2 linked regions of the Arabidopsis thaliana genome follow. The protein of the gene in region 2 purifies or fractionates together with the protein of the main gene of each other region. This does not show direct contact. Each region holds a gene or a part of one and is shown on either strand. Other genes may lie near its edges.

What was found.
Region 1: the proteins of AT1G44000 (region 2) and NYC1 purify together in Arabidopsis thaliana (affinity purification with western blotting, with the first as the bait; one study listed by BioGRID). This does not show direct contact.

Annotation. Positions count from the first base shown.
Region 1 is NC_003075.7:7,682,733-7,691,120, forward strand, and holds NYC1 (NAD(P)-binding Rossmann-fold superfamily protein), read right to left. Parts: upstream 4,275-8,388; 5' UTR 3,960-4,274; coding exon 3,669-3,959; intron 3,577-3,668; coding exon 3,498-3,576; intron 3,412-3,497; coding exon 3,276-3,411; intron 3,184-3,275; coding exon 3,109-3,183; intron 3,014-3,108; coding exon 2,818-3,013; intron 2,728-2,817; coding exon 2,659-2,727; intron 2,573-2,658; coding exon 2,433-2,572; intron 2,360-2,432; coding exon 2,237-2,359; intron 2,161-2,236; coding exon 1,968-2,160; intron 1,874-1,967; coding exon 1,685-1,873; 3' UTR 1,502-1,684; downstream 1-1,501. UniProt on the Arabidopsis thaliana protein: Involved in chlorophyll b degradation. Belongs to the chlorophyll catabolic enzymes (CCEs).
Region 2 is NC_003070.9:16,706,251-16,713,221, forward strand, and holds AT1G44000 (STAY-GREEN-like protein), read right to left. Parts: upstream 3,464-6,971; 5' UTR 3,272-3,463; coding exon 3,086-3,271; intron 2,720-3,085; coding exon 2,375-2,719; intron 2,287-2,374; coding exon 2,140-2,286; intron 2,056-2,139; coding exon 1,951-2,055; 3' UTR 1,754-1,950; downstream 1-1,753. UniProt on the Arabidopsis thaliana protein: Magnesium chelatase involved in chlorophyll a degradation in the chlorophyll-protein complexes of photosystem I (PSI) and photosystem II (PSII). Contributes to the degradation of PSI and PSII in the thylakoid membranes.

The sequences.
Region 1 (8,388 bases), on a different chromosome or scaffold from region 2:
TTAATTAGTAATATGTTTGAGTACTATGCAGAATATGTAAACTAAAAAAGAAATGTCATCATAATTTTTTCTTTTTGTGTGTGTGCACATGAAGTCGTTTGCTCCGATAAGAAAAAAATTGAGTAGCAAAGATACGATTTTCTTTTAATTTTTGGAAAAATCCAAAAACAAATCCAAAATAATTTTAATTGGACGATTATTATCCGTTATTTTTATATTAGAATAAAAATACCCCAACTAATTATTTGTGATTTTAAAATACTTCATAAATTAATAATTTGTGGAATTAAACTCGTAATTATTTATATACAAAATATATTAAAATTACTAATAATTAGATGAGGTATTTTTATTTTAATACAAAAATATCAGATAATAATCGTCTAAAGATAAATCTCACTTTTTTCTCTTTATTATTTAATATTCTGATCTTTGCGGATGTAATATTTTCTTTATTATTTATAGTATTTATATCCACCATAAAATAAAACATTTATTTATAACACTTTGGACTTTTTTTTGTTGAAATTTTCGTTTTTTTTTTCGTTTTTTTATCATAGAATTGATAAATAAAAATAGAAATGTAACTTTGGAAAATAGAGTTTGCATTAAGAGTTTGTATAACTAATTTTGACTACTCAAAACCATATTTACTTAAAAGATTATGATTTTAAATTTTGTGAATCCAAAGTTTCGGCCGGTTTTAACGGTTTAACCCAAATCCAGTTTTTAACTTAAATCCAAACTCGGCTACATGAACGATTTCTAATTTGATAGTAAGCCCTGGTAAAGCCCAAACTATGATAAGCCCAACAACGTCCGTAGCGGTGTGTGATGTTGAGCACCGTCAGATGTAACAGTGGACACGTGTCAGAATCTTAACGAGTGAGAAAACCCTAGCGCTCCATATTTATTTTCTGTATAAAAACCCAAAGAGAGAGAGAAGCTTATCATCTCTCAAGCTACAAATTGCTCTCGTAATCAAATCCTTATACTTTCTCCAACCCTTACTTTTGTTATTGTCGTATTACAAAATTGTTTTTTTTTTTCTTCCGGACAGTGACGATTGATATTTAAGGTCTCGTTCGTCGTAAAAACGGCCGTAAAAAGCCTATTTGCCGACCATTCTGTTATATCACCACCCATATTCTGAGTCCTACTTTTTGACTTTTGTTTTTCAATCTTTCTTCTAATCGATTTTTTTGGCCAATGATTTAATCAAAAAAATAGACAAGCATATGTCTGAATTAATCCTTGTTGATAAAATCTAATCTTCTCTATGAGGCCAAACAATCTTTGGTTTGTTTTTGTTTATTTGGAAAAAAGGGTCAAGTGATGATTAATAATGCATAGTTCAAATGATCTCCATGATTACTATTCAGTAGCACAGTCTTTCGCTCCTATCTGATGGCCCTCCACTTTTTTTATTGATGCAATGTTATTGGAGCTGTGTTTTTTTAACTCCGCTTAATGGGCCTTTAAAGGCCCAACTAGTGAAAACTAGAAAATACTACAATCTGATAAAAGTTTATTACAATCTATTTTTTCATTGTTTTCAACAACGACACATTCTACAACTATAAGAAGTGTTTACATGAACAAATCGGTTCTGTTATATATATGTTTTTTATACATAACATGTACGTTTACAATTTTCTTAAAACACATCCGAGGAAGATGTTTGTTATGTGCCTGGAAAAGAGCTAGGTGTTGTGCTTTGTAAGATGATGAAAGCGCAAACAACAGAAAGAGAGAAAACAGAGACCCAAGTATTCTCTGTATACATCTCCATCGCGTCTGTTAACGACAACCTCGTCCTGTTCTCTGCCCAGTTCCTTAGTCTATCTGCTTCTGCTGCATATAACGCCCGTCCCTGCAAACACGTACACATCTTTGCGTCAGCTCAGGCTTAACCAAGTGAAGGATTTGTCAAAAAACTTGAACTAGAACTCAAGTGTAACACTTACTTGGTCATCAAACCATCGGCCTCTCCTTAGCCAGGAAGTGACAATAGCTAACAATATCCGAGGAGGAGTTAGGTAATTGACGGCTTTTCCCGAACCTTTCACAACTCGCATTCGTGGTACCAAAGTTCTAGCTACTGTCTCAGGAAGCTCACAGATTATGTTAAACATCTGCTTGTTTTTAATGCTCGAACCACTGCCAAATAAATGGTTGCTTCAATAAAACTCCGGAGCATTCTGTTCTAGGCCTTAGTGACAAAGTGTATGCATACCTGAGAAGAAGTTCTGTCAGAACCATGCCAGGGGATGCAGTGTGAAGGCCAACGTTTGTTTTTTGGCTTTCTTTCACTATAGACCCATGAAACTGCCTAAGTCCACATTTTGTTGAACCATATCTGCGAAAGCTCACAGACTCAGAAATGTGTTCTAATTCATTAGAGACTAGTAACGAATGATTTGAGTTCTTACACGGCAGTGAGAGGAGTACTTGAACCTCCAGAGCCAGCACCATCCATGTTAAAGATGTGTCCACCACTGTGCTGTCTGCTCATCACATCCATAGCCCCTCGTGTACATAGAATTGATCCAATCAAATTTGTGGAGACAATCTACAAAATAATAGTTACAATTAGACTAATGAACTTCACCATAAGCTCAAGCTGAAATTAAGCTTTAGGTTCAAAAAGGATTTTACCTGTGTGATATCTTCTTCCGTGAACTCGAGTAGCGGTCTAAAACCTTTGTTAGTACCAGCATTGTTTATCTATCCAAATGAATATAGACAGTGAGCAAACATATGACTAAAGATACAAAAAAAGTTACAAACTGTACAAAAAGAAATATGTTTCTTTACCCATATGTTGATGGAACCAAGCTCTTTTACAGCGAAATTCGACAGCTTCTCAACGTCTTCGGGTTTGCAAACATCACAGGCAATACCAACTACCTTAGCATCACTCAGTTTCTTTCTAGCTGACTCGCTAGCGTTACTCATAATCTCTTTGAGATTTTGCTCTAGCTCTTTGACAGTCATATCAACAGATTCAGAACTGATTTCACAAACAAAAACCAAAAAACAAATCATATTAAGACTTCATTGCTTGATAAAAACTAATCCATAATTCCATATATACAATTTATCAACCTGCGAGATGTGACAATGACTCTGTCTCCAGAGAGAAGAAACTCTCTAGCAAGAGCTTTCCCTAGTCCCCTAGTGCTAAAACACAGCATAAAAACATACATCAGCATCAAACCAAAACACAAAGAAACAAAAATCAAAAAATGCAAAAACAAAAGTAAAGAAGGTACCTTCCGGTTATAACAACATTCCGTGGACCGGCTCGATAATGATCTTCCAAAACCATGTTAGCACCAGTCATGGTTCCAATGATAATTCCACCAAGCCAACTATACCAAACCAATGAGTTCATCGAACTATCTCCACCTTTCATCACAAATACATACACTCAAAATCTCAGTCAAACAAAATTACCAATAAAAAAACTCTTCTACAATAGTTTTTGCACTAACCTGATAATTGAAACCCAATCAAAAGAATAGCTCCAGTACTTGTCATCGTCACAATGTATCTCGCAATTTGAACAGCAACCTACAAAATCACAAACACATAAAAATTAAGCTAATCAAAGCAAAAAGATTGAAAATTTCATTAAGAAAAAAAGAGGAAACTTTAAGACTAACCGAAGAGAAAACCATCTCCAAGTTTTCAACTTTCTGATTATACTCATCTTTAGACAAGAACCCTAATTTACTAAACCCTAAAAACCCAGATTTCAAAGAATCCCACGACCCATTTCCCTTAAATTTCTCAACTTTTCTCTTTCTTTCAACTTTTTTCTCACACCGATGCACATAAACCCTATTACTACGTTCTCTACAAGTCAATCTTGACCCGACCCGTATCGGATCTCTGAAGAAGAGACGGTGCTCCAAGACTTGTGGGTACACTTGAATCTTCGTTAAAGTAGTCATAGCTATGGAAGAAGAGTGAGATAATGATAAGCTTTGAAACTCATACAAAAAGATAACTTAGAAAACAAGATAAACGAAGGAGCTTTTTTAGGGACCCAAAAGATAGATTGTTAGATATTTTTCAGCTTCGGATTCGTCGAAGACGTTAAATAGAGTGATCGGAGGAAGAAGAAGGAGATTAGGACGAAGAAAGAAAGAGGTGAGGGAAAGAAAGAAGGAAGAGAAGTGTGATGGCCACACGTTACAGCAACCTCATCTCGTTAGCCTAACATTGACACGTGTCATTTTGTGTTTCTTTTGTCCCTTCGCATGTTTTCAAGATATTTTTTTCTCTCTTTGGGAGCTACTTTAGATTTTGGTTCACATGAACAAAATTTTGATTCAGTTTTGCTTCTAGAAAGCCAAAATTTGATTTCAAATTACATTTTACTCAGACTTCGTCATTACTTATGTACCTGAGTAAATTATTGTAGTATCCATTGTCACATTTGAGTAGATGATAGAGATTATTGTCAAACTACCACTTACTTATTTATATTATTTTAGAACAATAAAAAATTATAAATTAAAAATTTAATATCAAACAAAGAAAAGTTGATAATGTTTGTGTTTATGATAATTTTCTCCTTTGTGTAAACTTTAAGCTTTTTGTCTCTACCAACTCAATAAATTTATAGTCCCTGTACAAATTTTAAAAATTAATCTTTTTCTAAACTATAAAACAAAAATTTGGACCCTTTTTATGCTAATTTTTTAAAAACACATTAAAATTGACATTTTCATACTAAAAAAAAAAAAATTGTAGGTCTTTTCCATACTAATCAGATCCTTAAATTTACCAAAAAAAATTTGGATCTAGAACAAATGCGCCTCATGCACCTCCAAAGAGCCGGTCTGCTTTACGTGAGACCCAAATATCAGTAAACCTATTAAAAGTCCAACTTCCCTAATAACGAAAACCTAAACGTGAAAGTATGTGGACGTGTACATATGTATATATGCGTTTATATATTTTTCCTCAGTAGCTGAATTTTATGTGTTTTATATGCTCGAAAACATGGAAATAAACATGATTAGATCATGAAGATCATTGAACCCCTACGATCCCTTGAATGTCCAACTTTTGTCTCTTATTGATCACTTACTATTTACTTGCTTCACTTACTTACAACTGTGACACAATAACAACCCTTTCCCCCTCTTTTATTGATTTGTCCTAGTTTTACTCTCTTCTGACAGACTTGTTTGAATTACTTCTCTTCCAATGGAATTCGATCCATAAATACTATGTTGGATACAAACCAAAGGTCCCACATCGAAAGTTTAGAAAAAGAGTTTCTAATATATAAGCCAAGTCCAACTCCAACTAGTATGAGGCCTTTTGGGAAGGAACCCAATAACAAATCTTTGTGGGCTTGAGCATATAAGCCCAAAGAGGACAATATCATACTAAATGAGAGTTGGAATGGGCTTTGAAAGCCCATTAAATGGTATCAGAGCCAGGTTGAAACACTGGACCTAGGGCTTGGGCTATGATCGATGTGGGAAAATCTCTCAAACATGACACGATAAGAAGGTGCCTCAAGAAGGAGGTCCAAGTTCGTGGTCTTTGGTTTGAAGGGGAGATTGTTGGGTACAAACCAAAGGTCCCACATCGAAAGTTTAGAAAAAGAGTTTCTAATATATAAGCCAAGTCCAACTCCAACTAGTATGAGACCTTTTGGGAAGGAACCCAATAACAAATCCTTGCGGGCTTGAGCATATAAGCCCAAAGAGGACAATATCATACTAAATGAGAGTTGGAATGGGTTTAGAAAGCCCATTATACTACAGACGATTAACTGTGCACTTCCAGTAGTCGTGTTGTCAAAATTTGACTAAAGCAAAATAAAACATGCATGTTGGTGTGTCCTTACCAGATATGTTACACTCCTATTTCCCTTTAACCATACATCTAACCAGTGTTCCTAAGGCAAGATAATCACTAATAGCCCACAACAATATAGTTCTAAGTGTGCAATTCTCCTTCATATAAGAATCATAAACCTCTATACATTCTTTCCACACACCATTTAGATCATCTATAATAGGTGCAAGATACACATCTATGTTGTTGTGTGGTGCAGTTGGTCTAGGGAAGAGCATAGTCATCATGATGTTCCCAGCCTTCATACACATAGTCGGCAACATGTTGTAGTTGACTAACAACATCGATCATGTACAATACTTTTTTCTGCATAGAGAACGAGTTCATCCTATCTGTAAAAAAGCCGAGTCGAAGGTTCCTTGGTTTAGTAGAATACTTTGAAAACTTATCTTTTATTTGAGACCAAGTCAATGAATCAACTGGGTGTCGCATTGGACCGTCTACACTAGCATTGTTGAAATGCCAACACAACTCCTAAGCAATCCTTTTTAATCTAAATATCCTCCTAAATCTATCCTTAGATCGAAAAATACCTCTGAACCTTTGCGGGAACCCCTTCTTTTCCTCTCTAGTATGCTTATCTTACTTCCATCTCGAAGCACTATATCTTGGACAGCTAACAAACTCCTCAAACATCTTTCGATAAAGGATGCAATCATGTGTAAATCAAATCATAACTAAAACCAAAAAGCTTCAAGAGCTTCTTCATCTCATGAACAGATTTTGGAAGAACATTATCCACATGTAACATGTCGTGAACTAATTTCATGAACTGATCAAATTAGTTCTTGGATATACCACTTTTAACTTTTATGTGGTAGAGAGCCATGATTGTAGACACTTTAGTATAGTTGGGACACGTCGAGTAGAGTAGAGTTCAACATCCATCAACTTCTACCTAAACTCAGATTCTTCTTTACTTTCATCATCATCACCCTAATCTCCTCTTTCAGTCTAAAAAAGTGGCGTTTGATGAGAAAAAGGAAAAGTATTAAAAAAGAATTTTTTTCCCTCTTATCATATGTATTCAATTACATGGATATCAAATGACATATATATTAGAAAAACAATTGACATGAATTATAACTTTTGTTCATGTCATAAGCAGCTGAAGAATTACATAAATTTAAACAGTTTTACAAAAATATTAGAACCCGTTTTCAATACTTCCAACCTCGTATATATCTTCCAGATGGATTATTATAACTTATTTTAAACCATATCCCACTCATTCTGGCAGTCCATACACGTACTTGACCACATTGAGGAGCCTCTGTATTTTGACTGTATGCTTCTACGTAATTACGATACCTCATGTTAAGCCCTTGCTTAAAGAGACAATGCCATTTTGTTATATTTTTTCCCTCGTCCTGAAGATGAATGGTTTTAATAGCATGGAAGTTTAGGTGTTGGACTCCTAAGTCTTTTTTTGTGTAGCGACAATGATATTGGAGAATTCTACCAGGACCGAGATCGTTTATGATTACTATTGCATTTTTCTCGCAAGCTTCAGTTTTCGTAGAACAAATAGCAGTAACTAATATAAAAAATATTAAACGTAACATTTCTCGGATCTAAATTAATTATTGGAGAAACAAGGGCATTAACAAGTAGTATTTATAATTTTTTTTCTCTGTGTGTGTAAGAAGCTTTTTCTTTATATAATATTAACTAAGTTTAGACAAAAACATGAACAAATTAAGCCTTTGGTTAGAAGAGATTTTAGGGTCGAAATGTATGCTTAACCATGAAGAATAAATCAAATGAACTAACCTTAGACATTAAAATTGACCACAAAACCCAAACTTAACCATATTATAAGTTTAAGAAGTTTATCTAGTTTGACTAAAAACTTTGAAAAAATAACTAGATTGATTGTCAATCGAAATAGATAACTAGAGTAAACTAAATTTTCTGTTAAAACACTAATTAACCTTCAATCAAACTTATTATAACCATTATGCCATACCTATAAAAAATTATATACAAATTTGATTCTTTAATTAAATAAATAAAAAACACAAAATTAAGAAACAAAAACCAAAAAACATAATAAGTCTCGATTTAGGTTTTTCGTTTCTTAAGTTTTTTTCTCTCTCACATATTTTCCAATTCATGTTTTATCTTTTTCGATCTTTCTACTAAACCCTAGCCATCTCTCTTTGAATCTAATGCTCCCACAAAAGATGGCGACCATTTAGACTAGATTTATTTAACTGCGAAATACTTACATCTATGTGTGTATCAACTTCAAGTCGCATTTAAGGTTCCATGATCTTCTCTCCTTATCATGTATACGTATATGGGTATTTTCTCATATCCATTCTCTGGACTTCCCCTTACCAATTCTCTCTCTGGATTACTAAAACCTTTGTGGAACATACCAAGTATATCATCAGTTGCTTGTCGAACACCTGCATAAAGGTCTGTCATTGAACATGTATGTTCCAAGACAAACACACACACATGGAATTTTGGAGAGTCGCTTAATGGTGTAGCTCA
Region 2 (6,971 bases):
TGAATTCTAAAGAGATCTATAATTTTTCAAATAGAAGTCTTTATTTATATAAAATTAAATGTTTGAAAAATTTAAAAATATATAAGGGTTAGTTTATTTAATATTTTTATTTTTTAATTTTGTTATTTTAAATTTCTTGCATATATTTTCAATTAATAGTATATTATTATTTGTTAGTATATGTATGCAATGTTTGCTATTATTGTAAATTACTACCGTAAATCAGCGGTAGATTGTTCCTTATGAGTCCAATAGGTTATATGTTTAATTCCATGTGGACGCCAATCTTGCATCATTATTTTCTAATGAAATAACGTCGTTTTGGAGCTTTAAAAATGACGTCATTTCGATTTAACAGAAGATTAACTCTGTTAATCTGAATTTAACGACGTGCCCAAAATGGCCAAGTCAACGATATTTAACAATTTTTATTAAGTAAAAAACAAACGAAACTTTGTGACTTAAATAATATTTCGAAAGTTCTTGCATTTTCGTCCCAAATTTGAAAGTTCACGATTTGTTCTGACATTTTCCCTTTTCAAATAGGATCAATTTATCTTAATTAAGTACTCCTGTATTTTGAGCTAAGACGTAAAATCAATTCTTAAAGTGAAAATTTTGTATTGTTAATCTTAGAGTTTTCTGCAAAATAACCATTCAAGTAAATCTCGTTTGCAAGTTTACCCTCCAAGTCCGAAATATGCAAGTCAATCCCACAACCTCAAAAGTCACCCGCAATACAGCCCTCTCGTGTACCGATGACGTGGACCTCAATTACTCTTTTGGGTTTTGTGCAAAAAAACCCTCAATTTAATTTTCTTTTGCAAGACAAACCTCCATGTCAAATAAATACAGGTCAAACCACAATCTGAAAAATCTCTTGCAACATAGCCATTTCGTGTATCGATGACGTGACAGTCGATAACTCATTACTTTAATGCATATAATTTATAAGTCTATCGAATATATTACTTTAATGCATATAATTTAATAGAGTTATTGATTTAAGTTTTAAATAAAATAAAATTGAACTGATAGCCAAACAATTAACCGAAATATCCAGAAACTTAGTAAATATCCAAAATTAGTACCTATAACTATAATTCTAAACTTAAAATATTAATTATTTTTAGAACCAAAACAATCAAATACTTTAAATAATCAAAATATCCAAATATTGTTAGTTATATTTGTGAAAATTAAATACTCTTTTATAAAATAGAACCAAAATTTTAATTTTCTTTTCTAATATTTTCCTCTTTGTATTTTTTTTGTTAAGTTTGGTTAAATTTGGTTAAATTTGGTTAATTTTAGTTAATTTTGAAAGAAAGAAAAACGAATCTGAAAAAAATTTGGTTAGTTACGGTTATCGATTCAAAAATGAGTTATCGACTGTCACGTTATCAATACACGGAAGGGCTATGTTGCAAGATATTTTTTAGATTGTGGTTTGACCTGTATTTATTAGATATGAAGGTTTGTCTTGCAAAAAAAAAAAAAATTGAGAGTTTTTTTCATAAAACTCTTATGTTTTTAAAAAGAGTTATTGAGTGTCACATCATCGTTATACGGGAGAGTTGTATTGCGGGTGACTTTTGAGATTGTGGGATTGACTTGCATAATTCGGACTTTTAAGTTTATCATCCAACAATTGTCTCTCTTTTAGAAGAATTTACTTTTAACAGTCTTGAACTGATGGTTAGAGCAAGGAATTCCCACAACTTTGACTCTCCCACTTTATGTGACCTGCTTGTCTGAAATGTTCTCACCAATGGATTTCAATTTGAGCTACAATACAACTAATATTGAAGAAGCATAAAGAAAACTAGGCTCTCATAAATTTCCCAAGTATGAACATTTGAATGTTGGCAAATTGCACTTGTGTCAGATGCTCATTAAGAAATCTACATCATTTGCAAAAAAAAACACAGGAGAATGTACAACTTTGTCTCACAGAAGAAACGTAAATAAGGTATGGAAGATAGACTTATGTCGAATCAATTTCCTCGAAGTCGTCGAACTCAAGAAGCCTTGATGATTGCCCTGCTGCTTTCCCTTCACCACCAAAAACACACAAAGATTTCACATTTCCATAAAAAGGACAAACAATAAGCCGAGCCAGCGCGAATTAGATCATACCTTCGCAGCATCCTTAAGAGGTCCCCAACACTCGATCCGATTGTACTTAGGTGTGCTTGAATGGAAATAAACCCATACATAAGCATCCATTAGCTCAGGATTCTCTCTAAACATAACTGAATCTCCATGCACCACAGCTTTAAGTACCTATCTCAAACACAACACCAAAGAGTTATTAGATAGTCATTTTCACATTCATTAAGAACCAAATAGACAAAAGATGAAGAAGACTAACCAAAGGCAATTCCTTGGAGAAAATATGATACCTAAGCTCAGCAGCAACATCCTGCAATAAACTCATACCACTCACACAACAATGAATATGTAAACGCAGCTCATCATTCACCTTCTTCCACTCAGCAACCACATCATCTTTCTTGTACCAGCCTTCTAGTTGATCCAGATTGATAACGTTTGAGATTGTTAACGTTAAGTTAGCAGTGAAGTCACAATGCGAAAGAATATAAGTCCGCGGCGTAATAATTCCTCCGTTACTCTTGTTCTCCAATAACTCTCCTAAGAACTCAACTTTAAGCTTTGAAGAATCAAAGTTTGCTTGTGGAACCAAAAGCCTCACCGCCTAATAACACCATCAACATTCACATTATCAACTAACTCCACTACTTAAACATGTAATCAAATTTTGATCTTTTTTGCATTTTCAAGACCTCAAATTCAAAATTAAAGCTAGACCCAATTCAATTATGGTTATAAACAACAGAAATCTACAACCTTTACTAAAAAAATATCAATGAGGATTAAAACGAATTAACCCTAAAATTTGGCTTACCTCGGAGACTAGAGTATTGTAAAGTTCGATCTTTTTGCATTTTCAAGACCTCAAATTCAAAATTAAAGCCAGACCCAATTCAATTATGATCATAAACTACACAAATCTACTAAAAATCAAGATGAATTAGAAAATTTGCCCTGAAACTTGGCTTACCTCGGAGACTAGAGTATTGTAGGAGACACCACCGTCACTAATAGCGGAGCTTCGAGGAACACTAATTCTTCTATTCAAGAGATTGTTGCAGAAACGGTGGTGGTGGTGGTGACGGTGACTGAAGATTTCTCTATTGGGATGAGACAAAACAGGATGGTGGTAATAAGGAACGATGTAACAGGCCATGGAGGAACATAACAACAAGGTTAATGCATGAACAATAACAATGATTCTTCGTCATTGTTCATCTTCCACCATTTTTTCTTTTTTTGTCTTGAGAAACAGAGAAGAGATGTGGAAGAATGTGTTTTAGACGTAGCCACAAATTCAGTCTTGGTGACGAGCTTCTTTCTCCACACAAATTCGATTTTGCAAATTGATTTTGGATTTCGTGATATTATTTATTTATATCGAAATATTGTGATTGGTGGATGGAGTTGAGAGTTGTTCCACGTCAGCAAGTCCTTTTGTTTTTTTCATATCTATAGATAATGAGCTATGGTGGCTTCAATATTAGAGTCCAAGTTAATATAAAATGAATTGTATAATTTTATTATACAAGTTTGCAAAGGTACCAAATACCAAACTATATGATACATATCATTGGTGTATAACCAAGTTTATTTATATTTACAAAAAAAGTTCATTAGGGGGATCATATATATGAAAGTTGGCTAATACTCTCCATATGAGTGACACATCATCACACAAGAAAATGACAAGTGTAATTCTACATTAATTAAATTAAAAAACTAGCAAAACTAATTGAGAAAAAAACAAAAGTCTTTTGTTGTGTTAAATTCTCCATTAATCTCACTCTTAAATGAATTTTCTAAAACCATTCAATAAATAAAAATTATAATAATGTACCAAGCACAACTTTCATTCTATTCTATTTATTTAATTTTAAAAAATTTCATCTAGGTGGTCGCTAAATAATCGCAGAGGAGTCTCTACGATACTCGTTATTCATGTGATTCAATCGTAACTCAGTCGTTATATTTTACGAGTACAATATGACTAATGTTATGACAGCGGGTATTAGTCGTATCGTAGTCGTCATTTAGCGATTAAAGTTACGACTATTTTGTTTAGCGACTCTGGATTAACGACTAAGGCTATTACTCGTAATATAGTCGTAACTTCTACTTTAACGACTATATTGCTACTAATGTTGTAGTTTGAAAACCCGTGTTTTCTTGTAGTAGAGCGGGTGATTATCTAGTATTTCATTAAAAATGAAAACAACTTAGGTTACAATAGAAAAATTATAGACCTATACAATGGTTACATGGCAAAAGGTAAAAAGCATTTAAGCATAATACTATAATAATTTAGAGAATATATTTATTTGGAATTGGAGTTTTGGACTTTCTATAATAATAAAAAATAATATAAACAAGTATTGTATATTTTTTTAGAAAAACTTATTTTTTTGTTCTTTTCTCAAGGCTTATAGTTGATCTTACATACAGTAATTGCTACTTGATTTTATTATTTTTTCTTTAAAATTCAATTTAAATAGATTTATGTTTACCTAAAATATTATTATAAGAAATTTGGATTCTAATAGTATAATATCTTGCATATTATATTATTATGATAGTTGACATATATCATATATGTGAAAACTTAGAACTGATATTAAAGGAAATCTAAAGTCAATATTAGTAATACAGATTTATATATATATATATATATAATAACACCAAAACAAAGTTAAAACAACCAAAGAACGAAACATCTACCAAAAAGTCAAAAAGTAAATGAAAAAACTCTCGGTCTTTCTATTTGTTTTTAGCCTTTGCATGCTTCGTCATGTGTATGGCGCCGGGATCAGGATCTCGAACGAACTCAAATTCAAAAAAAATCTTTGGATGAGATGTTATTCCAAAGATGATGTATTAGGTCCAAATATAATACCAAACCGACAATATTATGAAAATATTTTCCATATTAACTTTTGGCATTCAACACGTTTTATGTGTACTTTGAGACAAGGTCCTAACTATATACACTATCAGAACTTTACAGTATTCAAGCTTTTTAGTTTGAGGGATCAAGGAGGCCTATGGGATTGGAGAGCAAGAGAAGATGGGATCTATTTAAAGAAAGAAGCTGGCGAGGCATTATTAAACCCAGTTTATATGCATAAAGTGCATGATTGGATATATTAAAAATATTAACAAGCTATATAAAAATGAAAAAGAAGAGTTTTCTTATGATTTAAAAACAACAGAAAATTATATATGTATGAGAAAACAATCTTCTCAAGTTATATATTGAAAGTTAGAAATATATATATATATTGATAAAATAGTATATTGATCTCAAGTATTATCATTTATCAAAGTAAAAAATAAAAATTATCAATTGGTAGTGAGACGTGGGTTAATGCTTCTATCTATGGAATTAGGGACGTCAAAATGGATCAAGTTTCATGGGTCAACCCAATTCAACTCAACCCATGAACCCTAATGAGATGAAATTTTTCACTCAAATGAATTGATAGTTCAAATGAGTTATTGGGTCAAATGGTTAGATGGATCAAATGAGTTGGGTTTCAATGGGTTAATGGTTTACCCATTTAACCCACCAATTTTGGCTAAATTGAATTAATCCAACTTAAATATCTAAATCGATATCAATTTGAGTTTAACCAAAACCTCTAAATCAATTGAATATAATCAATCTTTTTACAAATGGCTTCACCAACCCATCAATTTATTCATTATCAACACAATATCATCATCATCATTACCATCTCATAATATCATATTACCATCACCATCATCACCATACCATAATCATCATACTATCTTCATCACACAAAAAATGACATGTGTCATTATACATTAATTAAATTAAAAAACTAGCAAAACTAATTGAGAAAAAATCAAAAGTCTTTTGTTGTATTAAATTCTCCATTAATCTCACTCTTAAATGAATTTTCTAAAAACATTCAATAAAGAAAAAAATCATAATAATGTACCAAGCACTACTTTCATTATATTCTACTTATTTTATTTAAATTTTTTTTATCAATAGTCATAATCCATAATGGCTAAAAATTTACTTGTGTTGTAGTTTACATGTTTGCTACCTAACCTCATATTAATTTAGTAATTTTAGTTGGATATTTTATTATTATTATGTTTTGTGAATTTGATTTATCATATGACCTTCTTTCTGTACAATTTTGTGCGTTCTGATAACTTTATAACATTGATATACAATTTTTTCACGTAATAGTCATCCAAGACATTAGACATACCAAAAAAACAATAACATGAGACTCTATATGACTATATGGTAGGGATGAGAATTAAAGTGTTGACTTAAATTACTAGCATATCATGATGTGATTGTGTACTAGATGATGAGAGAATATATGGAATAAAGAATTGTTTGTTACAAATAAGTTAGGCAAATTTCAAAACACATAAGTAATATAACTACATACATTGTATCAATATATCATATATTGTTGTAGTATGTAATCATGATAGTGAAATATTAGAATAATAAATATATAAATATTCATATTGTAGTAGAATAGATATTTCGAGTTATACATGAATCTAATCATAAAAAATAATAATTATATTAAATAGATAAATTTATCAAAATGAACATCAAAATCAACAAAAACCCATATTCATATTTTTTTTTGACAATTTTAAAAACAAAAGCTCATGCGTAGCATATATTGGGGATGTATCAAGCCGTTTTGATGTTAAAGTCCTGGCCAATTTTATGCTCTTTCGTATCTCATCCAAAAAAAACTTTTGTTGAAATTTAAAGTTTATTACTATAATTATGCCTTATGCCATAATTATGTCTTTAATTATGTAACAAGCCGTTTGATGTTAAAGTCCTGACCTTG